7 linked regions of the Neurospora crassa OR74A genome follow. The protein of the gene in region 1 purifies or fractionates together with the protein of each later gene. This does not show direct contact. Links are inferred from orthologs where the notes say so. Each region holds a gene or a part of one and is shown on either strand. Other genes may lie near its edges. The genes, in order: NCU02685, NCU07382, NCU00505, NCU06622, NCU00210, NCU03042 and NCU07683.

Evidence for each region.
Region 2: the proteins of NCU02685 (region 1) and NCU07382 purify together in Saccharomyces cerevisiae (affinity purification with mass spectrometry; 7 studies listed by BioGRID, with this or other methods). This does not show direct contact. The link is inferred for Neurospora crassa OR74A from reciprocal best matches to the Saccharomyces cerevisiae genes BRR2 and LSM2.
Region 3: the proteins of NCU02685 (region 1) and NCU00505 purify together in Saccharomyces cerevisiae (affinity purification with mass spectrometry; 7 studies listed by BioGRID, with this or other methods). This does not show direct contact. The link is inferred for Neurospora crassa OR74A from reciprocal best matches to the Saccharomyces cerevisiae genes BRR2 and SMD1.
Region 4: the proteins of NCU02685 (region 1) and NCU06622 purify together in Saccharomyces cerevisiae (affinity purification with mass spectrometry; 5 studies listed by BioGRID). This does not show direct contact. The link is inferred for Neurospora crassa OR74A from reciprocal best matches to the Saccharomyces cerevisiae genes BRR2 and LEA1.
Region 5: the proteins of NCU02685 (region 1) and NCU00210 purify together in Saccharomyces cerevisiae (affinity purification with mass spectrometry; 3 studies listed by BioGRID). This does not show direct contact. The link is inferred for Neurospora crassa OR74A from reciprocal best matches to the Saccharomyces cerevisiae genes BRR2 and CBC2.
Region 6: the proteins of NCU02685 (region 1) and NCU03042 purify together in Saccharomyces cerevisiae (affinity purification with mass spectrometry, with the first as the bait; 3 studies listed by BioGRID). This does not show direct contact. The link is inferred for Neurospora crassa OR74A from reciprocal best matches to the Saccharomyces cerevisiae genes BRR2 and HSH155.
Region 7: the proteins of NCU02685 (region 1) and NCU07683 purify together in Saccharomyces cerevisiae (affinity purification with mass spectrometry; 7 studies listed by BioGRID, with this or other methods). This does not show direct contact. The link is inferred for Neurospora crassa OR74A from reciprocal best matches to the Saccharomyces cerevisiae genes BRR2 and LSM4.

What each region holds. Positions count from the first base shown.
Region 1 is NC_026501.1:3,198,499-3,202,434, forward strand, and holds the start of NCU02685 (pre-mRNA splicing helicase), read right to left. Parts: upstream 2,801-3,936; 5' UTR 2,687-2,800; coding exon 1-2,686. Other genes in the region: NCU02686 (hypothetical protein), read left to right, coding at 3,654-3,852.
Region 2 is NC_026501.1:6,141,317-6,144,278, reverse strand, and holds NCU07382 (U6 snRNA-associated Sm-like protein LSm2), read right to left. Parts: upstream 1,827-2,962; 5' UTR 1,745-1,826; coding exon 1,692-1,744; exon of another isoform or gene 1,636-1,691; coding exon of another isoform or gene 1,622-1,635; intron 1,251-1,621; coding exon 1,000-1,250; intron 911-999; coding exon 873-910; 3' UTR 501-872; downstream 1-500. Other genes in the region: NCU07381 (DNA cross-link repair protein pso2/snm1), read left to right, coding at 1-440; NCU07383 (transcriptional regulator Ngg1), read left to right, coding at 2,847-2,962. UniProt on the Saccharomyces cerevisiae protein: Component of LSm protein complexes, which are involved in RNA processing and may function in a chaperone-like manner. Component of the cytoplasmic LSM1-LSM7 complex which is involved in mRNA degradation by activating the decapping step.
Region 3 is NC_026501.1:8,193,174-8,196,352, reverse strand, and holds NCU00505 (small nuclear ribonucleoprotein Sm D1), read right to left. Parts: upstream 1,847-3,179; 5' UTR 1,720-1,846; coding exon 1,706-1,719; intron 1,588-1,705; exon of another isoform or gene 1,487-1,587; coding exon 1,319-1,486; intron 1,241-1,318; coding exon 1,051-1,240; 3' UTR 501-1,050; downstream 1-500. Other genes in the region: NCU00504 (hypothetical protein), read left to right, coding at 1-392; pkr1 (ER membrane protein), read right to left, coding at 2,407-2,910. UniProt on the Saccharomyces cerevisiae protein: lays a role in pre-mRNA splicing as a core component of the spliceosomal U1, U2, U4 and U5 small nuclear ribonucleoproteins (snRNPs), the building blocks of the spliceosome. Also binds telomerase RNA and is required for its accumulation.
Region 4 is NC_026504.1:1,833,531-1,837,138, reverse strand, and holds NCU06622 (U2 small nuclear ribonucleoprotein A'), read right to left. Parts: upstream 2,377-3,608; 5' UTR 2,078-2,376; coding exon 1,999-2,077; intron 1,881-1,998; coding exon 1,840-1,880; intron 1,729-1,839; coding exon 1,468-1,728; intron 1,351-1,467; coding exon 1,216-1,350; intron 1,160-1,215; coding exon 917-1,159; 3' UTR 523-916; downstream 1-522. Other genes in the region: NCU06623 (hypothetical protein), read left to right, coding at 1-522; NCU06621 (hypothetical protein), read right to left, coding at 3,069-3,608. UniProt on the Saccharomyces cerevisiae protein: Involved in pre-mRNA splicing. Associates to U2 snRNA in a MSL1 dependent manner and is required for normal accumulation of U2 snRNA. Required for the spliceosome assembly and the efficient addition of U2 snRNP onto the pre-mRNA.
Region 5 is NC_026503.1:3,018,642-3,021,971, reverse strand, and holds NCU00210 (nuclear cap binding protein subunit 2), read right to left. Parts: upstream 1,944-3,330; 5' UTR 1,753-1,943; coding exon 1,684-1,752; intron 1,586-1,683; coding exon 1,464-1,585; intron 1,376-1,463; coding exon 982-1,375; 3' UTR 501-981; downstream 1-500. Other genes in the region: NCU00211 (mitochondrial ribosomal protein subunit L31), read left to right, coding at 1-14, 87-316, 387-439; NCU00209 (hypothetical protein), read left to right, coding at 3,287-3,330.
Region 6 is NC_026501.1:8,343,984-8,347,933, forward strand, and holds the start of NCU03042 (U2 snRNP component prp10), read right to left. Parts: upstream 2,801-3,950; 5' UTR 2,460-2,800; coding exon 1-2,459. Other genes in the region: NCU03041 (hypothetical protein), read left to right, coding at 3,044-3,694. UniProt on the Saccharomyces cerevisiae protein: Contacts pre-mRNA on both sides of the branch site early in spliceosome assembly.
Region 7 is NC_026504.1:2,247,658-2,251,021, forward strand, and holds NCU07683 (small nuclear ribonucleoprotein), read right to left. Parts: upstream 2,036-3,364; 5' UTR 1,845-2,035; coding exon 1,842-1,844; intron 1,757-1,841; coding exon 1,616-1,756; intron 1,453-1,615; coding exon 1,402-1,452; intron 1,288-1,401; coding exon 1,090-1,287; 3' UTR 501-1,089; downstream 1-500. Other genes in the region: NCU07684 (hypothetical protein), read left to right, coding at 1-84. UniProt on the Saccharomyces cerevisiae protein: Component of LSm protein complexes, which are involved in RNA processing and may function in a chaperone-like manner. Component of the cytoplasmic LSM1-LSM7 complex which is involved in mRNA degradation by activating the decapping step.

The sequences.
Region 1 (3,936 bases):
GCTCAACCCAGCTACCTTTTTCAGGCGAGTACACTTGCGTGCCCTTGATGATGACGGTATGGGCTGGAAGGTTGACACCCCAAGCAAGAGTGGCTGTGCACACAAGAACCTGGATATGGCCACTGGCAAACAAATCTTCGACGTCGGTACGATCAGCACGACTCATACCAGCATGATGGATACCGAAGCCATAGGGCAAGATATCCTTCAGATCGGTGTTGTTGACAGAGTTGGAGGCTTCGCTCAGGACTTCACGGGTTCCGGCGTCGTGCTTCAAGATCTGGTTGATGGTGTCCATTTCCAAAGCCTTGTCCCTGATGTACCTGGCGGTCTTTGCCGTTTCCTTTCTGGAATGGACAAAGATGAGCATCTGATTGCGATTCTGTCCTACGTGCTCCAAGACCTTTTGGTAGGTGATATCATTCATGGTCTTTAACTGCTTGATGGCCTTTCTGTCCGTGACGCCGATAAACTCTTGACGGAGGGGGCAAGGGCGGAAGGTACCATCGAAGTGGAAGAGCCCGGTGTTCGTATCCACACGCAGGAAGCTCGCTACGTCGCGGTAGTTGGGCAGAGTGGCAGACAAGCCCACAATGCGAACAGGCTCACCGGTCTGCTCTGTCTTGCGGATGGTTCTGGCGACAATGCTTTCAAGCACAGGACCACGGTCATCGTGAAGGAGATGGATCTCGTCAATAATAATCAGGCGGACCAGGTTGGTGTAGGAGAGATCAGTAGCCTTTCTCGTGATGACATCCCATTTTTCGGGGGTCGTAACGATAATCTGCGTTTCCGAGATCTGTTGCTTAGTAAGTTGCCGATCGCCAGTGAGTTCGGCCACCCTGATACCGAATGGTTCGAGACGCTTTCCGAAGTTGCCGACCTGTTCTTGAACAAGGGCTTTCAAGGGCGCGATATAGACGATCTTGAAGGCGTCCAGGTCGATCTCGCCGGCTTCGTTTCTATGCTTCCCGATCTCACGAAGGATGGTGAGCATCGCCACGTTGGTCTTGCCAGAGCCCGTCGGAGCACAGACAAGCATGTTTCCATCATCACCAAAGGCAGTAGGATAGCACTTTGACTGAATCTTGTTTAACGATTTGGCCGTGCTGAAAGGTATCTGAGCCCACTCAGGCATTTCAGAAATCGGGACATGGGCGTCGCTGGGGTCGTTGCGCTTCTTTGGTGGGGGCACATGGATTTCTTCATAGCCCTTGAAGGTGCGCTTTGTCGAGCCCTCGGGAAGTCGTACTTTGGGATTGGTCATAAGGTGGTTACCCTGATCGAATATGAGGTTCTCCAGGTTTATTAACTTGCGTGGCTGCAGACCTCCGACTAGCTGTCCCTCGGGACGCTCAGGCTTTTGGCCTTCCTTATCAGCAAAGGCCCCCGAGTCAATGTCCATCTTGATGTCCATCTTGATCTTCTTCTGGCCGCCGTCGGTCTTGCCTTCCAGCTCGTCCAGAATCCAACGCAGACCCTCAGAAGCCATCTCCCGCTTGATCGTATTTCTCTCCTCCTCATTCTCAGCTCTGGCCAGCCGAGTAAGCCATACGACCTTCTCCCGGTTAGCAATGAGTTTTTGCACAAGCTCGTGGTGTTCGTAATCAAAAAGCTCCATCAAGTCGTTTTCGATGTCGCGGAGCTGCTTTTCTTCACCACCTGGCTCATCGGGCTCGCCGGAAAGAGTCTTGAGCGCAGACATTGTCTTATCATGCTGGATATGTGCGTCGGGATATAGCCGGCCAATCTGGCGTTGTAACCAGAACGCATCGATATCTCTGGCGGGTATGGAATTGTCGTCAGACCCGCTTTTCTTCCCTTCCGGTGCTGAATCGATGACCATGGCCTCGCCGTTCAGAATATCTTCGACCACCTCCTCCTGACCTCCTTCACCATCGACCACCTCGTTGCTGTCAGGCAGCTCTTCATCCTCCGCAAAATCCTCCTCATCGGAAGATTCGTCCCGAACAACATCAACCATGCCATCATCATCTTCATCGTTCTCGAAGTTGACCGCAACACCCTGGCGACCGTCAATCTCGTCGTCGCCTTCTTGCCTAGCATCGCCCGCATCCTCGTCTTCATCTTGAGCGTCGTAATCCGTGATCTTTTTGCCGAGATTTATGAGCTCGTTGAACTGCTTGGGCCCCATCGAGACTCCAAGAATATCATCAACCTCCTTCTTCTTGTCAAAATCCTTCAGGTCGTCATCCTTGAGATATTCGAGAACCGCGTCAGCAGCACTGCGAACGACCTCATGGGGCACGTCGCCCAAGTGTTCGGCGACAATGGTGAGGATAAGGTTGAAGGCATCGCGCGTCGGCTGCGTTCGAGGGCGGTAGCGGAGACCTTCGATAAGCGCGTCGGCGCCAGTAAGAATACCTCCACCTCTTGTAGCGGACTCGAGTTTGCCCTTCTTCTTCTCTCGTTGCAGGATATCAGCACCTTCCCTTAGACTGCCCCGCTCGACGTCGGGCATGGCGCCCGCCTTCTTGGGCTTTGGTGCTGAGTCGCGAGCGACTCTGGAGCCCATATCTTTGATGGACAGACGCCCGGCTAGGGACTCGGGGTCTCCCGTGGCCTCATCGGTACGCCTCGTGACGAAACGACGGTCCGCCTGGAGAACCAGGTTGGACATGGCCGAGTATTTATATTGCGACACATCGCGGTGGTGGTCCGTCATCTTGCCAGCTCGGAGAAGAAAAAAAGAAATCTATGAAATGTTTTGAGGTATACGTCAAGATCGAAGTAGAGGTCGTAGCGGATGGAAGAGTCTCGATCTGGTGATATCTTCAACTCGGCCTTTGGGGATAAAATGTGCTTGTTCTTGCGTGCACGCAGTGGCGATAAATTAGCCCGAGCCCGGCCCGAACCAAGCGTTGGTTTTGCTGGCTGATAAGTAGTATTTCGCCGGTCGCATCGATGGGTAGATCAAGAATCTGGGGTCGGGCGGAAACAGAGATGATGGGTTTCCGACAGAAGTCTGTCGCGGTTGTCGCGAAAGGAAGGTTGGAGTTTGGCGTTCAGTTTGGAAAGGTTGAGCCAGAGGCGTGGTTCTTGCCAGCCAGCAGGAACTTACTTGGCTTGGTAGGGGTGGCAAGCGGTGCAGAGATAGGTGTGGCTCCAGTCATGACGGCTGGAAATTTTTATGCAATGCTGCCGTCGTCGACTCTCATTGGCTGCCTGGACAGCACGTAAACACACTGAACAGCTGGAGCTTGACCTTGCTGTCAGGGCGGTGTTAGTGCATAGGCGGAGACCCCGTGGGGTGTGTAGAGGTTGGTCAAGGTGCACTAACAAACATCCTAAAGGTGGTAGGCACAATCATCAACACGATCTCAACCCATCGAGCAACTCGAGATAGGTGGCAGAAGTCTGATCCATGGGCTCCGACTTCTACGATACCTCTTTTTCATACCACCAAGAGGGACGAATCGTATTACTTCACGAGCTATTTGAACAATCATTTGAATGCTGGAAACTGAGATACCTCTGGTTCATACCACGCTCTCTTATGTCCGTCCTGCTCACATCGGGCTGAGCTCATCGATGATCACAGTCATTCACAATTTGACCAATAAGCTGTTTTATGCCTTGATATGAAAAGAAGCCAATACTGATAGACAGGTCAAGTTGGAATTATCTACACGATGGATTCCTTTCGAGAAACGCTAGAAGCTGTTCAGAAGGTGCTGCAACCATACACCAGGCCTCGCGAGGAAGCCGCCCATATCAGACGGATCTTGACACTTCACCTCAGTTCGGGCTTGAAAGACGGAGCAACGCTGACAGAACCGTTGTCTCTCACCGAGTCAAGTGAAGTACCCTCCTACTCACAAGATACTAGAGGTCTGTATAGGGAATTCCTCGAAGCATTGCGCGCGAACATCAAAGCCCGCAAAGAATACCACACACTCTCACAAAAGCGCAGTC
Region 2 (2,962 bases), about 2.9 Mb from region 1:
ACATCGACACAGGACCTCCCGCCTCCGTCCCCGTCACCGCCAGTCTCCCTCCATCGTCGCTGCCAACCACGCACCTCCTCCACGGTAACCGGTTCCGCCCCCGCTTCTTTGCACAGAACGTGGTCCCCCAGCGCGGGAGCGGGAGGGAGGCCATGTGCTTTGGGGTTCCCTATAGCGAGCACAGCTCGTTCAGGGAGCTGGCGCTCTTTTTGATGGCGTTGAGGGTGGAGAAGGTGGTGCCGACGGTGAATGTGGGGAGCGAGGCGAGTAGAGCGAGAATGAAGGGGTGGATTGATCGGTGGGTGGGGGAAAGGAGGAGAGGGGGGTTGGTGAGGATTTTGCATGAGCAGGAAGGGGGAAAGGGAGAGAAAGGGGAAGATACCAAAGGGCAGAAGTTTTGGGATGGGAAGGATGCGAGTGGTGGGGAGGTTTATTGGTAATCTGTGCGGTGCTCTGTATGGTGGTGTGCGGAAGGGTTGGGAAAGGGGGGAGTGCGGTCGGTTGGTTGTTTGTAAATCTGTCTGAAACTCTATTCGGCCGTTGTGTTTGCGTTTCCACTCACACATGGAGAACACCGCCCTTGCCTGATTCTCGGTTCAACTCAGCCGTGTTCATTCCTCATCTGGTATCCGCCTATGTGACACTCTTGACGCCCTGCCTGCTTGTCTTCTCCCGTACCACCCCATCCTGGTCTCTGGCCCTCTTCGTTTGCCCTTGATTCTCGAGCGCGTTTCCTTCCAGCTTCGTCAATCGCATCTGTTGATAGACAACGTTGGTAGCGACAATAACGGGTCGAAAGTTAGGGTGTGCGTTCCGTGAAGTGGTTCTAGAGCGAATGATCCCCTCCTCCTCCTCCTCCTCTCCTCTCACATTCAACCCTGCTTAGCTTTCGTAGCCTGGTTGGCCGCCTCTGCAACACGGCGTTAGTATGCATCCAACCCATTCAACCCTTCCATGCAGCTACCACGAGCCCCTTCTCACTCAACACACAAAACATACCTCTTCTCGTGGCATCCTCTAACAACTGGATATCCACGCTCTCCTGGGGCAGGTGAACGTAACGAACCACAGACCCGCGGATAAACACGTTCTTGACCGCGCTCAGGTGCGGATACTTGAGCTCTTCAACGACTTGGATGTTGTCGAGCTTGATGTTGAGGAACTGGTCGACGCTCTTGAGCACGCCCCGGATCTGGATGTCGTTCTTGAGCTCGACCGTGACCTCGTGGTCGATGAGGGTCTTGAAGAAGCTTTTTGCGTGAAGTGTCAGTCTGTATTTGTTTGACTAGATGTTGCGGTGGGTGCTTGAAAGGGAAGAAGGGGGGGTGGGAAGATGTGGTGTGGTGTCGATGCGCTGGTCCGTATTCATAAGGGAATGCAGGGATTGATGAGCAATGTTGGTAAACAGTGTGGTATGTTGAAAAGTCATCATGTGTCAACTCAGGCAGGGCTTGGTCCAGGTATGTGAAGCAACTCCTGATATGCGTCGCAGACCTTGTCATGCTCGGCTTCAAAGCAGCATCACAACATAGCGTAGACTTGACCCCACTAGGGAATAATGACTTGATGTAATGAACGAACACGAATGCTCCTCTTGGGTTGGATGAGAAAATTAGATTACCTGAAGAACAACATGTTGTTGGTATCAGTGTTGCTATGTTACCAAATGAGTGACGGGAAAAGAAATCAACCTTGATGATGTTAAGATATGTTGGACAACAGAACTAAAGTGACGGGCATTCATCAATTGGTCGAGGTGCCCGTTGCTTGCTGGAACTGTAAACGCCAAGGAGACGACTGCCCAACTCGGTGGAGGACTTGGAAAGAGGTGAGCCGCGCTTTGGGAGTCCGAGCGTCCATCAAGTGCAGTGGGAGCACAGACCATTTGTTCTCTATCCGCCAAGACCTAGGTGCCCGTATCGTGCTACCACAGTAGATAAGTACCTACCTACTGGCAGCTGACAGCCCGGGGAGGTGGGCAGGTATGGCACAGTTAGTTTGTACACTACAGAGCTGCCCTGCCTCCTGAAAGTGCCCATGTTGAAGTCGAACCCAAGTGCCGTCCAACTGACCTCTACCTCTGCAGGAAAGAAGTGCCCGACAACCAAAGTGTGGCACAGGTTCAGTTGTCTGTTGAGTAACGGCAACGCGAGGAATTCACAGGCGCGACACGGGCACATCAGTCACACAAACTCAAACACCCGACGGAAATAGCATTGCGAGGCCCAGGGCAAGGGCAACTCTGGAACCCCAATTCCACTTGCAACTTGAAGTGTACCTCTCCTACGTAACTTAGTCACCTAACTTAGTTACGTACACTTACAACGCAGAACGCTACAGAGCAAGTGGAAGTTGAAAGAGGCCCGCCCAGCGCTCTGGCCCAGTCCCATCATTGCCTGATTCCCACACGATTCTTCACTCCCCGCGAGCGACAGTCAGGGTCGACAGGGATGTGCCATCAGTTATTGTGCCGTCATTGGATTGTGTATCGACCAGCATCGACCGCCTTTCAGCGAGCGAGGCAGACCGCGACGAGCATCCCTCGAGCACGCCGTGGACGCGGCAGCCTTCCCGGGTCCTGATACCCCTTATTAGACAGACAGACGCCATATCGACATCGCCGTTACCTACCGAGGACCCAGAGCAGCCAGCCCCCCCAAGACCCCCCGAGTCCGGATCCTCTTCCACGGAACTCCCTAAAATCCCAACAGATACCTGGAACCCCCGACAGCACACGGGCCGGAAGTCGCCGCACCAGGATCACCCGTAGTAAGGTGCGCAGCAGCCAGCGGCCAGCAAAAAAAAAAGCCAGGAGCGCGCGCGGGGTTGCCGATTACGCAGCAACAATGCCGCCGCCCTCGGGCCAAAAAGGCAGCCAGAAGGGCACGGGGAAGAAGGGTGGAGCGGGTGTCATGCGCCAGCACCAGCACCCGCGCAGTCGCAACACCACGCCCAGCGCCGG
Region 3 (3,179 bases), about 5.0 Mb from region 1:
TCGTCTCCCCCTTTCGTCCCGGATCGGTAGATGTCCTAGTCTTCAACCCGCCCTACGTCCCTACGCCTGACTTGCCTGCGCCGCCACCGACAGGGTTGCAGGCACTGAAGGAGAAAACGACGTTTGAGGAAGACTCACATCTCTTGGAGTTGACGTATGCTGGAGGGAGGGATGGGATGGAGACGACGGATAGACTGATTGAGGCCTTGCCGGGGGTGTTGAGCGAGAGGGGGGTGGCGTATATTCTGCTTTGTGCGCAGAATAAGCCGGAGGAGGTCAAAGGGAGGATCAGGGTGATGGGTGGTGAAGGGAAGTGGAAGGCAGAGACGGTGGGGACTAGTGGGAGGCAGGCGGGTTGGGAGAAGTTGCAGATTGTGAGGGTTTGGAGGTGAATGGAGGGATGAGATGCTGGTGATGAGTTGAGGATGGGGAGGAAGCTGTTGAAGAGGGTGGAAGAGGGGGAAGGACGATGGTCAGTCACGTACAAGGCTCGAAAATTCTGGGGGAAATTTGGTATAGAGAGTTGCTGATTGTGCCGCCTTCTCCAGTAGGCATATATCGCCGTCTATCTGTTTTGTGATACATAAAATAGTTCATTCCGGTGGCGGTTGGGCGCGCCTTTCTCTCTCTCCCTTCCCGCTAGCAAAGTGATTTTATCCTGTCCAGAACGCCGCAACGAAATCCCAATGCTTGCCCTCTGCTCCGATCCGATGAGGGGGAGTGGTGTTTATGTGTGTAACACTCGATGCGAATGAGGTGAATCTCGAGTGTCGCTCAAGTGAAGATCTGGGATATGCTCCTCGATTTTCTGAAGCGCACTCATCGTCGATTTTGTCGTGTCGTCGCCACCGGACGTTATTTCGGGCCGGCCTTGATCTTCCCTACCAAGACGGTCAAGCCGGTCGACCGAAGGGGGCATAAAAAACCGAAAAAAATCCACCATTAACCGTAGTATAGCATCGTATCGTCTTTGAAAAAAAATCTAATTCGCACGTTTCTGTCGTCCAGGGAGACGTACGCCGTGGCCGATCCCAAAGAAACGAGATCCGCTTAGCCACGGCCACGACCGCGGCCGCGACCCATTCCCCTTCCTCTGCCACGGCCACCACGGCCACCTCTGCCGCCGGCGCTGCGGTCCGCTTCCTTTCTCGCCTTGTTCTTGGGCTTCACGGAATCATCAACTAGCAATGTATCGAGCGGCAAAGAATCGGGGAGTATGAAGTAACGGATGGTCGAGCCCCTGTAGGGTTTCAATAGTTAGTGATGCCCTCGAAAACTGAAAAGGGCCACTCCCCCTTAGTTGAAAGGGTTGATTTACCTAATGTTCATGGCATCTAGAGCCACAGCGTCCTGGCCCTTGGGGGTCATCTTGACGTTGCGAAGCGCAGTGTCCATGCGGGGTGTGACCGAGGCGATAGTGCCGTGTACAATTGTGCCGTTCTTCAACTCAATCGTCACCGTCTCGTTGGCGCATTTCATCAAAAATCTGCAGTGTTGAAGTAACGGATTCCACTTCGTCAGCCTGGTGCCCTTGGTGTTCTTTTTCTAGTAGAGCAGCATGGACGCGCGCGAACACGGGCTGGCAGCCTTGAAGGCGAGGACTCAAAGCTCAGCATGCGTCGTGCAAGAGAATAGGAATGAAGTCGGGTGGGATGGGGTATCGGGTACATGTAGCGAAGTATCAGAAAGCAAGGAGAAATCTTACCTGACCAGCTTCATCTTGACTTATTTGGACAACGCGTAATCGAATATGTGTTGTATGGAATTGGTGGTGACAAGGTCTCGATTACCAGCTTGTTACTTTGTCAATCAACAGTCGCGACGGGAGAAGGCTTGTCGAGCTTCCTTGGACGCTTGCACAACCATCCAAGCGTCAGGGTGGAGCAGATAGCCTGCCGTCGCTACGCGCCAAGATAGAGCCCGTGCTCAATCACGTGAGCCGAGCTGAACAGGCAAACGGCGGCTTGAAAGCCCCTAACCCTGGAAGTCATGGGTTTCAAGCTATCCATAAATTGCCTGCCCTGCACATGATCTGTTCATGTGCTGAGTTGAAGCAACCAGATAATTGGGGTACACGAAGATGGGCTGGCTAACTGCCACGCCGAACAACAAGGTGTTGTTTACTATGACTTTGTCTCTGAAGCTATAGCTGTAGTTGCACAGATCATGATGCCTCATGGCAGGATAAGGACTATGAAACGAACATAGGGCTTACAGCCTTCAACTGCCTCTCCTTTCATCCAATGAAGAACGAAAACAGGGTGGATGTGTAAATGCCATCGTCGCTCAACTCCAACACGAAAGCGGACCATGACACTATTTACAGGATGCCATGGTAACTTCGCTAACACGACATTCGCTTGTACGTTCTGCGTGTGGTCGGTCCCCGCTCAATCGCCAGGATATTCACTTGTCCTTTTCGTTCTCGTTCTCCGAAACCTTCTCCCACTCATCTTCCGTGCTGACGCCGCTCTTAGTGCCCAGGCTCGGTGTCTCCTCAACCACTCTGTGCTTCAGTTCTCCAATCTGCTGGATAGGCTCAACCTCATGGCTGACCGCCTCTGCAATTGACTCCTGCCTCGTGAGGCTAGCTGTCGATGTAGCTGCCTCTACTTCTGTTTCGCTGTCTTCCGATGTGACTGGAGTTGGCGCTGCTTCTTTGGCTCTTCTCGCCTTTTCCTCTTCTTGGATTTGGTGCACCTTCAGTTCCGCCGCGAACCAGTTGATGGATCCCCAGAGTCCACCGCAGAGAGCCGAGAGAATTACGAAGTGGATACTCCATGTCGCAAAGAGGAGGCACGCCAGGACAATTTGCAGAGCGGCAAATGTGACATTTGTCGCGATAAGGAGGGTGGGAGTCGGCCCCGGAGTGAAGATCGACTCCCAGAGATTTGTAACGAAGGATGTCATTGGGAAGATTAGGCTGGCGCTATGTCGGCGTTGAAAAGTTTGACCGTGAAGGTATGTCGTGTAGAGGAAAATTCTTGTTGTCGATTCGTGTTCAGGACGATGCGCCGTGGAAGCGATGCGGACAAACGAAGAGACAAACTCGCAGTAAAGTCAATGGTTCGTAGTGGATGACTACAGTCGAAGAGAGGGTTAGTCACGGCCTCACAACCTTTATAAATGACGAGGGACAGAAGGCAGGGGACGGATGAGGATGTGCAGCCCAACCAGAC
Region 4 (3,608 bases), on another chromosome or scaffold:
GCCGCGGTCGTTTTGGCGCCTGGACCGGTTATGGGAGGACTGGCAGCTCCCGAGGGGGTTATGCTATCTTTGGAGCAGGGACAAGTGGGTGATCATGGAGATGAGCGGGATAGGATGGCGATGCTGCCGAATGCCAAGAAGCAAAAGGGGTCCGGCGGGTTGCAGCAAACGTCCATCTTGATGTCTATGAATGGGGGGTTGCCTGCTGGTACAGGAAGCGGTGCTAGTGGAAGCATTGGAGGGCTGGCGGCGCCGGTGAATGGACTCGGTGCTGGCGGGGTTAATACCGGTATTACCAATATGGGTGTCACGACGGGTGTGGTGGGCATGTCGTCGGCTTCGGGACGACCATTTAGTTCTACTCCTGGTGTGATGAGCGGCATGAATAGGGGTATCTTGTCGGCATCACCGCCAGCTACTACGTCGGACGAGGATCCCAGCGCGCAGTTGCAGATGGAGATGAGGCAGGCGGCGTCACAGCAGTATCGGGGTCATGATGGGGATGTGGATATGACGGGTTAGTTGAGTGACTGTCCATACATACAGAGCCGAATAGACGTGTTGAATATCCGGGCGAGTACAAGACGTTAAGAGGTGTAGAGTTGCCGAATCAAAGACCATGGGCCCTTGATATGCTCGTCCTAACGTCCCTTTCCTCAAGGCCGCTCCGATTGCTGCGGTGAAATCATGACACCACTATCATGTTTCACTATCTCTGTTTCAACCCAGCAAATTTGCGCAATTTGGTATACAGTTATTTTGCAGTAAGCCCCATCTAGAACCGAACGCCGACAAATGGTAAGCTCTTTGAAGTGCCGTCCTCCCCCTTTTCGTCACCTCTGCAAGCCATCATATCACGAACATATAGCAACCTGATCTACCACGTTCGTCAGGTGCCCGTCACCTTGGTTCCTCCTTACTCCTCCATGGCATCGTCATCCTCGGCGATAATGCCAGGTGGCAGCCGTCCCTCGTTGAGCGCCTTCTCCAATCTGATGATTTCCTCCAAGCTGTCGGCCTTCTTGATCAGATCCTGCAACTTCTTCTTCTCTTTCTCTGTGAGCTTGAGACGCGAAAGTTTCGAGGAAGGACCACTGCCGGCCGCACCGTTGGCGGAGCTGGCGCCAACGTCAAAGGTCTTGCTCTTGATTCCCTTTATCTGTTTGCATGTTAGCAGGGTTGTCATGACATTGAAAAAGAAGACAAGGTACATACCGTCTTGGCCAACTCCGTCGGCTCATCAGCGGTTCCAAACAGCTCCTTCGCCTTCTGCCTCTCGGCGTCCTTGACCTTGACGTAATCGAGAAAGCGAACCTGAGGGCACAGCCAGAGGACCCAGTAGCGGTAGTTCTGTGTGTCGACAAACATTGTCAGCCATTCCGTACATTCATTCCATTTGCCACCCCCGTCTCCGATTCTCTCTCAGCCGCATAACACTGGGCGACGAAAGGGCGTTGTGTGACGTACCTCCTTCTTGGTAACGGGGTTGTCCGTCAAGACCAAGTGCGTAAGCCTTGGAAACCTTCCCAACACCTCCAAATCCGCCAGCTCGCCAATATTATTGGACGCCAGGACGAGGTTCTTCAGGTTCGGGGTCGCATTCGGTAGGGTCGACTGGATCTGGGCGATCCTGTTGCGGGCGAGCAGGAGGGTGCGTATGCGGGGAGAGAGCGGGAAGTTGCCCAGCACTTGGATATCGTTGTCGGTGAAATCAATGGCATCGTGGGGCTGTAGTAGCGACCGGATTAGCAAACTGCATTAATTGGTAATTTGGTTGAAACGGGCTACCAGTAGCAGGACTAGCAGTAGAGGAAGAACCAGGAGAAGGGAGAAACTTACCCCAGCAACGCCCAAGTTCTCAATAGCAGGTATTCTGTGTCCTATTGCATGTATCCCAACCCAACATAGGTTTTCGATATATCAACTCTGTTCTTTGTACGCGCTTTTGGAAACTTGAAGATCAACCGTGCAGTATCTGCTCTTCTCGATGGAACGCACCTCGGAGGTCTATCTCTCGCTCCTTAAGCGGATTGAGATAGGAAAGGGAGTTGTTGATAAGGTCTGCCGTCAGCCTCATTGTGACGACGGGAGTGCAACGACGACGGGGAGCTGTCGAGCTGTCGCTGCTACTACTACTGCGATGCCGGTCGGTACCTTGTGATGGTTGTTGCTGGTGGTGCTTTTGTAATACGGCGGCGCAAAGGGGCTTTGCAAACAGGTGATTAATTATTGATTACAGCCAGGAGAATTGCCGTATGTCCTGTGTTCGCCTTCGAGATTGAAATTGATGGAAGTCAACTAAAGAAGCAAAAGGTTGAAGCGCGTCGCGTGGTTCGTAATTGGTGGCTGTAGTGAAGTTACCAAAGTAGATTGACAAGGCTGCCTGCCCCAATGAAGTCATGGACAGCGCCGCAAAAAAAAAACGGACGATGTAGTAACCCTAACCCTTGCGCGTCGGATTACTTGCAAGTCGCAACCACACGGAGCTCCTAAACAGAGTCGACACGGTTTGTGTCTGAAAGACTAGGGTACTAGAGTCAGATATTATATGTTCATTTTCTGCCCTCTTGTTGGCCTAAAATGTTTCTTACTCGCTATCTCGCCAGGTTGCTGTCAAGTTTTCGTTCTACTTCTTGGTGTAAACGCTTTCACAACCACTAACCGCCCGCTATGGAAAAACCAAAACCACTTTCATCACACTCGCTCTTTAGTCCAGATCCCCAACCCGGCATCATCTAAAGAACCTGCAGCTGTAACTTTAGGGCTTGTTTCGTTATGATGCACACTATTGTGCAATTCCATTGTAACGTCACCAACAATGCTATCCCTACATCGTCTAACCGGACGTCGAATGACGCCTTCCATGCTACTCAAACCAGAAGCCAAAGTCACTGACACAATAAGCTTGCTATGTAACGCATCACGCAAGTTCCATGTCCATTACCTGGTATCACACACACACAGAATTTGCCCGACCTTGAACCAGAAGCGGGATTTAGTATGCGAATCCACACCTCTCGTCCTTTTATGCTGATAATTTGGTGCCCAAGGGTCGTGCCACTCACTCACTACTCGACGATAAGCCCCTCCAAAGCTTCCATCGCTCTGGCACCCTGCTTCTCAAACAGCAGGACCATCTCCTCGCATTCCCTCTTCAATCTCTGCTCAGCCAAGTTGGCATTATGATAGATCCACTCCTCCACGGTCATCCGCTTTTCCGGGCTCGTGAGCTCACTGCCCTTGTGCAAGAGTTTGTCAATGCCGTCTTCCTTATCGTAGTCGTTCTTGTTGGGCGAGAATATATTGTCTAGATCTGCCGCGGTCCAAGGCTTAGTGCTTTGAAGGGCACCCAGAATCGTCCGTTTGGAAGGAGAAGTGGGCCTGTCCGGTGTGGTAGCCATTGGTGCTAGAGCATGACGTTCGACTATTGGGGTCATTTGCTTCGGCGATGGGGGTCGGTTCTCTGCATTCGAGGATTGCATTGAAGGCGAGCGGTAGACGCTTGGCTGTTCTTGAGGTACACTCGCGACTGTAGGTGCCTGAGGTGTAGCAAGCGGCTGAGACAGGTGATCTGGGGACTCAGATGGCGGCGGAGGAAGAGACTTGTT
Region 5 (3,330 bases), on another chromosome or scaffold:
GGGGGTCTTCTTTGGTAAGCGACTACCCTATGTTGCAGTTGCGCCAAAGGTTCTACCGGAAATGCTAATCATGTCGCGGCAAACAGGAAGATCCCATGGCGCATGTCCAAGTTCCAGAAGCTCAGGCAGCGCCGCAGACTGAGGGCCGTTGACAACGTCGTCGCCACCATTGAGAACGCTCTTGCCAAGAAGGGTGAGACCGTCAAGGCGGTGGAACGCTGGAGGGCTGAGATGCCCACCGAGGCCGAGATGCTGCCCAAGGACAAGTACACCATCTTCGACCGCAAGGAGAAGAGGTACCGCAAGGGCATCCACAGTACGGGCCACCCTTGTGCATCACTTCACAGCAGTCAAAGACCAAGGCTAATACGGCATTCCTTTTCCAGAGCTTCCCAAGTGGACCCGTGTGTCCCAGAGAGTCAACCCTCCCGGTTACTAAGACCTTCGACCCGGACGATGGACGATATCGTGCAAGCATGTATATCACTTGTAACATTACGCAGCGAAATGGCATGGGTGACATTGGAGATACCGCTAACAGGACCGTTTGCTTGGGGCAAAGAAGAGGAGGCCTCCTGTCTCGTCTCGCAAAGAGACTGACTGACTTGGAGGTCCTGTCCATCATGGACACTCCTGCTCGCTCCATGTTGAGATACCACTGCAGAGAGCAGCGCAAACACGGCCAGGCGAGCATCACAGAAGAATGTGTGGAGCCATACCGAATGGATGGGAAATCAATAATTTCCCGAAATACCATAGCAAGATACCAATACAACAACGAATATCATGTCTTCCAAGGGGGTATTTGTCTTTTACGCTTCTCTGTTCCGCCTCCACTTGCCCTGAATGAACAAAATTCGTAATTTCAGAGCCGGCTTGCATATTTTGTGTCGATTTGTCATGACGACTGGTTGAATATCTGTGCACTGGATCATGATGCACTCCCTCATTGTCCCACGTAACTCCCATGCAATGACAACTCTAGCGCAAGCGGCCGTATTGTTCGTCGTTATCGTCGTAGCGCTTGTGGTCATGCTCCCTCATTCTCTCGGCCTGGATTTGCCGGCCAAGACCACCGCGGCCCTCGTCGTAGTCCTCACGGTACTCATCACGAACTTGGCCGCCCGACTTTCCACGGCCGTACTGTCGCCCTTCCTCGAAGCCTGGGTCGAGATCGGTTCGGATGATGCGCTCGTCCAACTTGGTGCCGCCAATGTACTTCATGCAATCGAGAGCGTCCTGATGGGTGTAGTATTCGACGAAGCAGAAACCGCACGGTGTCTTTTGTAAGCGATCGAGGCCCATGACCAAGCGCTTGATCTCGCCGCATTTGCTAAAGAGTTCGTAAACCTGTTCTTCGGTAGTGTAGAAGGAACTGCCGAGGTACATTCGGTTAGTTCTTGTTTCTTTTGATTTTTTTTTGATTTTTTTAATTAAGGACTGGCAGCGTGGGGCAAACTTGCAGATTGCCGACGTAGAGCGTGGTCGCATCCTTCAACGGGTCATCGAACGCTTCGGGATGCATGTTACTGTCTTCGTTTTCTCCATCGCGGTGGTCCCGGTCGTGACGTCTGTTGCGCCTATTCTGTGTTGAGTGGATGGGTCAGCGGTCGACGGGGTGCTAATTATGGACAGGAGAGATTGGCAATGTTTGGGCATGGAAATGCCGTCAGGAGCACTCACCTTGTTGAAAAAGTATGCACTTGGCCTGTCAAGGCGCTCTACGGTGCTCCTTTGGCGAGTGTTCAACATGGTTACCTGGTAGTGAAGATGGATTATCTGCTCTTGGGTGAAAGGTGCCCTGCAACTGCGAAGAAGAAGGAAAATCAAAAGCTGTCAGCCCAAGTGGAAGTTCAATGGTTTGGAGTTCTGAGACGTCGATGGGGATGATGCAGTGGTTTCCCTTGCCAATGGAATTGGACCTACCTAAGAGGTAACTTAGGTTGCCCGCTAAAGTGGAAGTACAGGCGCAGCTACTTTCTGAGCGCGACTGGTGTGCCCGTGTACCGCGACAGCAGCACTGCAGGCTTCGTTCACAGTTCAGTTCAGCTCAGGTCAGTTACACTTAGTCCTGTTGGCGCACAGTGTCACAGTGCATCGGACATCACTGCATGGCAATCCAGGTAGTCTTGGCACTGTAACGGGCGACGGAAGCCGTTGGTGGTGGGTCAGGTACCCTATCTTACGAGGTGCCCGCAAATATGACGACGGCAGGCAAGGGCAGAGCGATGGAAGCAAGGGCAGGAGGACTTGGTGGAGGCGCTTTGTCGTTGATCCAACAACCATTGCCAGCCGATTGGACCGCAATCTGGCACCCAATTTACAGGCGCGTCACAGCACAACTGTACCTACCTCGGGCTTACCATTTATAGTATGTATACAGCTAGGTCTCCGTTAAGACCTCCATTCGGCCATTCCATCCCCTCTCATCCCGGGCGGCCTGCCTGTCTCCTGTTGATCAATGACCGATGGTGTGAGACGAGGCGGCGAGCACGGTCTGGACTGAACACCGGCGGACAGTTGAAACGGACTAAAGGGCTGTGGAAGGAGTGGAAACGCGCTAAAATGAAGCTAACACGATCGATCAAGGCAAGCAACGGAAAATATACGGCATAGGCACGGAAGCGGACGCCTCTAGTGACGCCCTGGACGCCTCATTTACAGCACTGGCTCGGACTGGACAATAGTGGCATCCAGCACTCGTCCATCCACGGGCATCCATCAGGTCCGTAGCACTACACGCTAGTCAAACCTTGTTGTTACCATCCTGACCAGCCAACCGAGACCACTAGCAAACTTCGCTTTCCTGGCTTTTTCTCCCATGGGATCGATCGAGGGGCCTGCCACTTCAAAAAGGGATCCCAATCTCTCTCCTTGTCTTCCCTCCCTTGGCTTCTGTTCTACTTGCTCTTGATCACCTTTTTTTTTTTTTTTTTTCATCTTCAAAAACCGAGAACCGCCATCACATTAATAGTACCGGTACATCAAATACATACGTACCTCGACCATAGTGCGCCTGCCTACCTACATAGCCAATTACCTCCCCACCTACATACATTACTTCAGCAGAGAAAGCGAAGTGCAGCACGACGACAAAAACCGGCCCGTGCATGCTAGGACATAGCAGGACCTCAACACAAGCTACTATTTCTGCCTAGCCAGACACCAACTTCGGTTTTCATTGCGCCACACGAACCACCGTCATCTGTAGGATTCATCAGGCTCGAGTTGGATAGTATAGCGACAACAGACAGCTCTTAGCACAAAACCACCAAGCACAGTCGGGATGCCCAAAATCCGGAGCTTCTCGGCGCCCTGGCTCCAGGAGCC
Region 6 (3,950 bases), about 5.1 Mb from region 1:
TCCACGCTCTGTTCCTGGAACGCATGAAGAATGCCATCGATAAGGCGTTCTTCCAGACGCTCGCCAATATCGGCAGCACCGAGAGAGGCCACAATCTTTTCAACCGTCTCCACCGTCATCTTGCGGTAGGCTTCGCTCTCGTCCTTTAGGTTGGCTACGATCCTTTCCAGAATCTCGCTGACACCAACCTTTTGGCCAATGTCGACAGTGGTCTCAACGACCTGTCGGTAGTTGCGCTTATCCAGAGCCATACGCCGTACCCAAAAGCTCTTGAAGAACTCGTCCAGCACATGCTCCTTTAGGTACCCAGCCGTTACTCCATCGGTGGCGGCGCACTGTGAAATCACCTTTAGCACAACCTTCTTCATCTCTTCATCAGGAGAGGCAAATTCTCGTAGCAGAATCTCCATAATCTGACTGGTGTAATAGTTGGCATAGTCTTCATCCATAAGCGGGATAATATAACCGACAGCCTTGAGGAAACCCGCCAGACCCTTGCCTCGCTGCTTTCGGGCACCGGTCCAAAGGGGGTTGAGAATATCATCAAAGCTCTCGATACCGTAGGGGTTAGATGCCTCGGCGAGAGCTGCGATGGCCAAACTGGTCACTGTGCGGACCTTGGTCTGTTCATCGTTCAGGTTGGGTCCGATACAGTCAACCAGCTGCTTGAGATGGGGCAAGACTGCGCAGCCCATCAAGATGGGAATCTGCTGGACGATCTTGACACCCGTGTGACGAGCCTGCCACGACTTTTTGCTTCGGCACACAGCTCGCAAGAAGGGGAGCAGAGCTGGGATACCCAGAGCCGAGGCAACGACGGCAAAGGCTCTGGCAGTAGTGTTTCTGACATATTCATCGACGTGATCAATATCTGGACGCATGACACTGATCATTGTGGCAAGACCAGCAGCCTTGCTGAGGTTCGAAATGATTTCCCGACCCTCAACACGGGCATAGTAGTCCTGATCGATAAGAAGGGGTTCGATAACGACGAGAATCTTGTGAACGTATGGTCGAACCATGTCATCGAGCTTGTACAAAATACGATCAATAACCTTGACGAGAAGATGGCGTTCCTGGTCCTCCAATGTTTTCTCCATGAGCAGAGGAAGAATTTGGTTGAAGAGGGGGCCGGCACCAAAGTTGCGAGCATTATCTGTCAATTGTCTGAGCGCAGTCTTTCTCATAGGAGGAGTACCGTTCTTGACCTTCAGCAAGAGCCTCATAATCTTTCTCTCCTTGAGCTCTTCGACACTCAAACTTTCCTCATCTGCTCCGTCGGTGAGCTTGCCGAAGTATGCCATATCTTCGGGCTTGAAGAATTGCAGGTCTCCCACACCGGGAATCTCCTTTGGCACCTGCTGGCCTGTCATCCGTCCGCTGTCGGGGTCCTGCATCATGAAGCCCGTTGTTGGGGCCGGAGCCTGCATCAGCTTGTGTGCCGGTGCTCGCACGGGGGCATACCCTGGTGGCGGCTCAAGAATCTTGTAACCTTGTTCGGGGCCTGGAAGCATCGCGTCCAGCTCTTCGTCGCTGAGTGGTGCGTAGCGACCGGCCGCATCAGCCCCGAAAGCTGGGGGCACGACAGCGGTCTGGGTAGGGTGCATCGGGGTAGCTAGGCCGACATTACCAACAGGAGTGGCAGAAGGCGCCTGGTCCCAGCGGGATCGCTTCTTGGGTTCCGCCCCTGGCGCCCCTGGAGCGGGAACAGATGGTGCTTGATCCCACCTAGACCTCTTCTTGGGCTCTGGTGCCGGGGTAGCATCATCTGTAGAGGCGACATCCCATCTCTTCTTGCGCTTCCGACCAGCCGCAGCTTCAGTAGAGCCAGCCTCCTCGTTCTCCTTGTTACCGGAATCCTGAAGGGTAGGCTGGTGCTCCTCGACCGGACCGCCCTCCTTCATCTTCTGTTCAATGGCGCGCCGTACGCGCTCTTCCTCTCGCTCAAGCTCGCGGCGTTCCATGATTTCCCGGTAACTCTCGCCTTCATCAGTGGCACCTGCTTGGCGGTTGGCAGCAAATGGGTCGGCTCGTGTAGGGGTCAGAACGCGGTCAAATCGGCGCTTCTGGTAGTCGGTCTCCCTGTCGGTGATGCGGTTGCTCTTTTCGCCCCGGCCAGCCAGGGGATCATCCTCCTCGACGCCATCGCCGCGTGCAAACTCATCGATCTGAGCTCGGGTGGCGGTGTACTGTCCTACTAGGCGGCGGCCGGAGTCGGCATCTTCCATCTCTTCGTCGTCGCCATCGGCAGCAGGCAGGGTGGTGTGGTAGCCCGCAAACTTGTCGCCGGTGTTGCGCTCATACAGATCGGTGTCCCATATTTCTCCCAGCTTGGCTTTGGTGCTGTTGTCGGATCGTTGGTTGGCAGGATCAAAGCTGCGCGAACCGCTCTTGGCGGCAGCAGCAGCATTGCGCTCCTGCTGGAGCTTCTTGATCTGCTCAAAATCCGAGTCCGACATGGTGCTGGCCGTATCCTCCTCGTGTCATGTCAGGTCGGGGTCGTCGCAAGAATGTCCAGCGCGCCGCGAGGGTGAATGATGGTATGTGGTCGGGAGGAAACGGGACGTGATGATGTGGCGCTGCCCGTGGGTGGTTGGGTGGGATCGGGTATGGTAACTGACGGGGCAGCTAAATTGACGGTGACAGTTTTGACACTTTGTCGTGTATAACTGAGGCTATCAGCAAGGGAATAGACGGTGGAGGCAGAGGGATGCAGGTCACGGCTGAAGACGGGCGCAGTGGATGCGGTACGGTGCACACGCCTTCCCTGAAATTTTGGCCAGCGACTGGTGACGGGACGTGACCGTGAGAGAGCTGACACGGGCTTGGCAAGGCTGCACCTGAAGTTTCCACTCCAAGTGGCGCTCCAGGTGCATTAGGTAAGCAGTCCAGACCTCGACGCTTTCGATCGCGGTGGGGAGCAGGGGAGCTTCCATCCATTTCCACTTAGCTCATGTGGGGAGGCAGCACTTTCACTTTCCACACCCTCAACTTCCATCCATTTCACCTCTCTCAACCTCGCTTCATCTTCGCTTCGACCAGCATGACATCCCAACCTGCAACGCCGCTACTGTATGTAGAGTTGCTTTCAAATATCCGCCAGATATCGCTGGCCATCTCACTGGGCTCTGCAAGCGATGCGTCAACACGAGTAGTGGTGGCAGCGGATGGAGAGAATGTCGAGCTCACACACCATGGACAGTCACATACACTACATCTACCCGCAAAGGTAGCCCTTGGCGGCGCCATTCTGCCAATACAAAGACCTGGAGCCTCTGCGCTCTCCTGGAGGTTACCGTTGGGTCAAGGAACATACACGGATGCATCATCAGCCGAGTCGTCCACTTGGACAGCCACCGATTTGAAGGCCGGGTCCGAAGTTGTTTGTAGACAATGCCAGGCCGTTGTTGTCAAGCGAGATGTTGTCAAGGTGTGGAAAGACCTCCCGAGTGAGAACTGGGCTGAGATGATGGAGTTTTGGCACTGTCACAAACCTGGTGACCACGATCATGACCATCACCACCACGACAAGTCAAACGGCGTTGATGCCAACGGGCAAAGCGATAGGGCAGATGACATGAGTCTTGCAGCTCGAGGATATGGCGCGAGCTCGGCCATTTCGGCGCAACAAGGTGTTGGGTTTGTTGATCTGACAACGCTGTTATTCGTCGAGCAGGACTGTTCCAACATCACGGTAAGTCCATATGTAGCATGCTCATGACTTGGTCTATTCACCGTCTCGAATGCGTCCATTTGAATCTTAGCAGTCGGGGCATCAAGAAGGTAGCCAAGTCGGCCTCGGCCCCTCAATGGCATGGATACCGATACAAATGCCCAAAATCAAGCAGACTCTGTCCCCTGCTTATGCGGGGCATTGAGTGGTCGACGAACCTGACTTCTGTGATGGGGCGCTTCCAGTCGGTGGATGACAGGCTGAACCCTCCGCATTT
Region 7 (3,364 bases), on another chromosome or scaffold:
ACGATGATGGGCGCCGTGCGTCCAGCGTATGAAGAGGCTTTGGATGCTGGCGATCTCAAAACATCGAGCGCATCTGCAGCTTGATAAAGAAAAGAAAAAAGAGAAAAAAAAAAGAAGAATTACTGAAATACTCAAAAGCATCGGAATGGAGATTATATAACTAGTTCAATGGCTTGCTAGAATCTGGTAGTGGTCATTATAAGAGAATCAGGCGAGTGAACAAATCAACTAAAACAACTCACAAGGTTGTATAGTGTAGCGGTTATCACTCCGGATTCTGATTTCCTTCAGAACATTCCGGCAACCCCGGTTCGATTCCGGGTACGACCTCAACTTTTGAGTTTTTTCCTCTAATTTCTTTTTTTTTCTTCCTTCTTTCTTCTTTTTCTTCTTTTTTTTTTTTTTTTTTTTTTTTTTTTTTGGAGTAACTCCTTCCATAGTTGTAGCCGCTCCGTACCACCTGTTTCCTTGCCATGGGCAATTATTTCGTTGCCTCAAAAGCTGCAACAAGTCGCCCGCGAAGTGCATCATTTTTGTGTGACATGGAGGTCTCAGGACGCCGCCAGTTTTGTAATCCTTTCAATGCTTGTTGATAACGGAAAAGAATCTCTCAAATGACGATAATGCGATACAATGTGCCTTTTGTGTTAGGTGCAAGAGAAAATCAACCAGGAACTTCAAGCTTGGGTATCTTTTGCTTTAAAATAGTCATATCCTTCGTGCCGTAAATTCCATGCTGATGCATCGAACACCTAGTCCGGTCTATGTGTCCGAGCCAGGCCTCTTCCAAAAAGCCCACACGATGACTGCCCATGAACCATCATGCATGTCTGTCGCTGGAGATGGTCTTCGTGCCCCATTCAACCCCGCCTGGGTTTTGTGTGAAAGCCCATTCGGACCGTGCAAGATGCAGCCCATGTTTCTTTCTTGGCTGATGCTCTCCATCCCTTTCCTCTCACCCCTACGCACAATCGCGGCGGCCCCTCGCGCCTCTCGTTCATCGATCGTATCATTATCAAAAGGCCGTACTTCCCTACGTTGGGTGGTCGTTGCGCCTCGCTCGCTGTCCCAAGAACATGGAATTCCACCTCATGCGCCCCTGCCACGGCCGCGGCCTCCCCTGTGACCACCTCTGTCGCCCCCTCCTCGTCCGCCACGGCCGCCACGGCCGCCATAATCGCCTCTGTTCTGTCCGCCGCCGCGGCCGCCTCTGTGTCCACCGTGTTGACTGTGTTGCTGCTCCCTTGCAATGTCGATCACGTCGTCCGGTACTCGAAGATATTTGATCTGTTTGTCCCCATAACCATTAGAAACCGCTGGTCGATTGATCGTTGACTCCTTTCCTGGCAAGAGGCAAGAAGAGAGAGAAAAGGAGGGGGAGGGGACAATGTCGAGACTTACGTTGTTTCCCTTGACGTAAACCTCTGGTAACCTCACAAACTTATCGCCTTCCTATTACGTCATGTAAAGTTCGTTGGTAAGCTGCCTTGTCCCCGACATTCTCTTCGACGTGTTGGATTGCTTGTTTCATCCACTCGCTCATCATCATCATCATCACTGTGCATCATCGCTCGAACGAAGGGACGGAGGGACGGAGGTAGGAGGTAGCACTAACCGGGCTGGTCTGAACAACCTCCCTTAGCGTCAGATTCATCCATGTATCGCATTGGATCAAGTGGCCGTTGAGCGTTTCGCCGTTCTTGAGCTCAACGAGCATGGGATGGCCTTGCGCCGCGGTGAGGATGCCTAACGGTAGCTGTTTGTTGCGAGGGAGCAAAAGGTTAGTACATTTCCAAGAGGGATACCGAAGTGACGCTATATGCAATGAGAATTCGACGTACCATAGTAGTGAGTTTGGAAATCGACAGCCGTTAGTTAGGCTGCCTATTGTTGTTGCGACGGAGACCAAAAGGAGAAGTTGACGTGTTGGATGTAGTGACCAAAGGGAAGTGCGCCCGCGACGGGAAGCCTGTCCTGGCGCCGTGGCGTAGCTGGAGCTTGCCGGCCGCAACAGCTTATGGAGTAACAAATGTAGCGTGGAGCAATGACATGGTTTACCAGGATATCTGGGAGCCGAAAATCAAATACAGTCGAACCCCCTGAAACTGCATACTCCAGATTCTGCATATATGCTAGTTAGTGCATAGAATTTCCAGGTCTGAATCCGCCATTTTTGCCCAAGCCCCGCCTCCAGAAACTGCATATACGCCATTTAGTGCATGGATTTTGGCGGTCTGGATTACATGCAGTTTCAGGGGGTTCGACTGTAGCCAACCGGCAACCCGAGATACACTATACTTAGTGTACAGAAAAGGTGGGACAGCCAAAAAGGAATAATATCCCACGTATATTTGTTATCTAAAGCTTCAGAGTAGCAGTAAGTAAAAAAAAAACGGGTTCTCACTGCAATTGGAAATACTGTTATCCAGATCCAAGTAATTTCAAGAAAAGTGCGGGAGCAAAGAGACATCGAGTCAAAAAGAGTGGACGAGCTGGGAATCGAACCCAGGACCTTTCGCATGCTGTGAAACATGCTAAGCGAACGCTCTACCAACTGAGCCACACGCCCTGAATGAGTAATGCAGTGTTTGCGCTTTGCGCCCTATAGCTGGAGCTCAAAGTTAGAACTCCCCGCAGTCTTCTGTAACTCATGGGCATGTCAAGCGCCTATGTTGAATCAGTTTGCCATATCCCTTGAGGAGAGTTCCTATCAAACGACGCTTAAGCTTAGTTGAGGCTCCCGAGTTGAATATAGAAAATGATAGCCGGACTAATTGACCTCCAACATTTAAAAGTTGAATAAGAAGTCTCGGACACTAATGAGACATTAGACTTTACCTCCATATCTAGTGTATATTTGTCGTAGGTAGAGTGCGTGTTATGGTACTAGCAGACTGTAGTAATTCATTGCCAAAAAGTCACCCGCCAGTCCTTATTGCAGCTCTTGTTGAACAGTGGACTGATAAAGATAGTTTGGAACTTGAGGCTATAGCACTATCATATGTATCGTTTCGAAGGGATTTGTTGAGCCTTGTAATAAGTGGGATCTAACAAGGAAACGCATCCTGCTCTTCACTGATTTTGCTGTTTATCTCATTATCTGCCGTGTCTCCTGTCTTCTCTGAGCCCAGTGTCCTAGTGAACTCGCGCCCCTCAGAGTAACGGTAAGTGTCACAGTTTGAGGATTTCTCGCATATTGGACCGTTGATTTAATGACATGTAGAACGCCCTACACAAACCTTCTTTTTCGATGGCTCAGTTGGTTTTGACAACGCGCCCTGGCCGTGTTCATTATAGTCGAGAACAAGACCTGGTAGAAACAAGGGGGAAAGAGGATTTCACTGTGATATGTAAATGACATAAA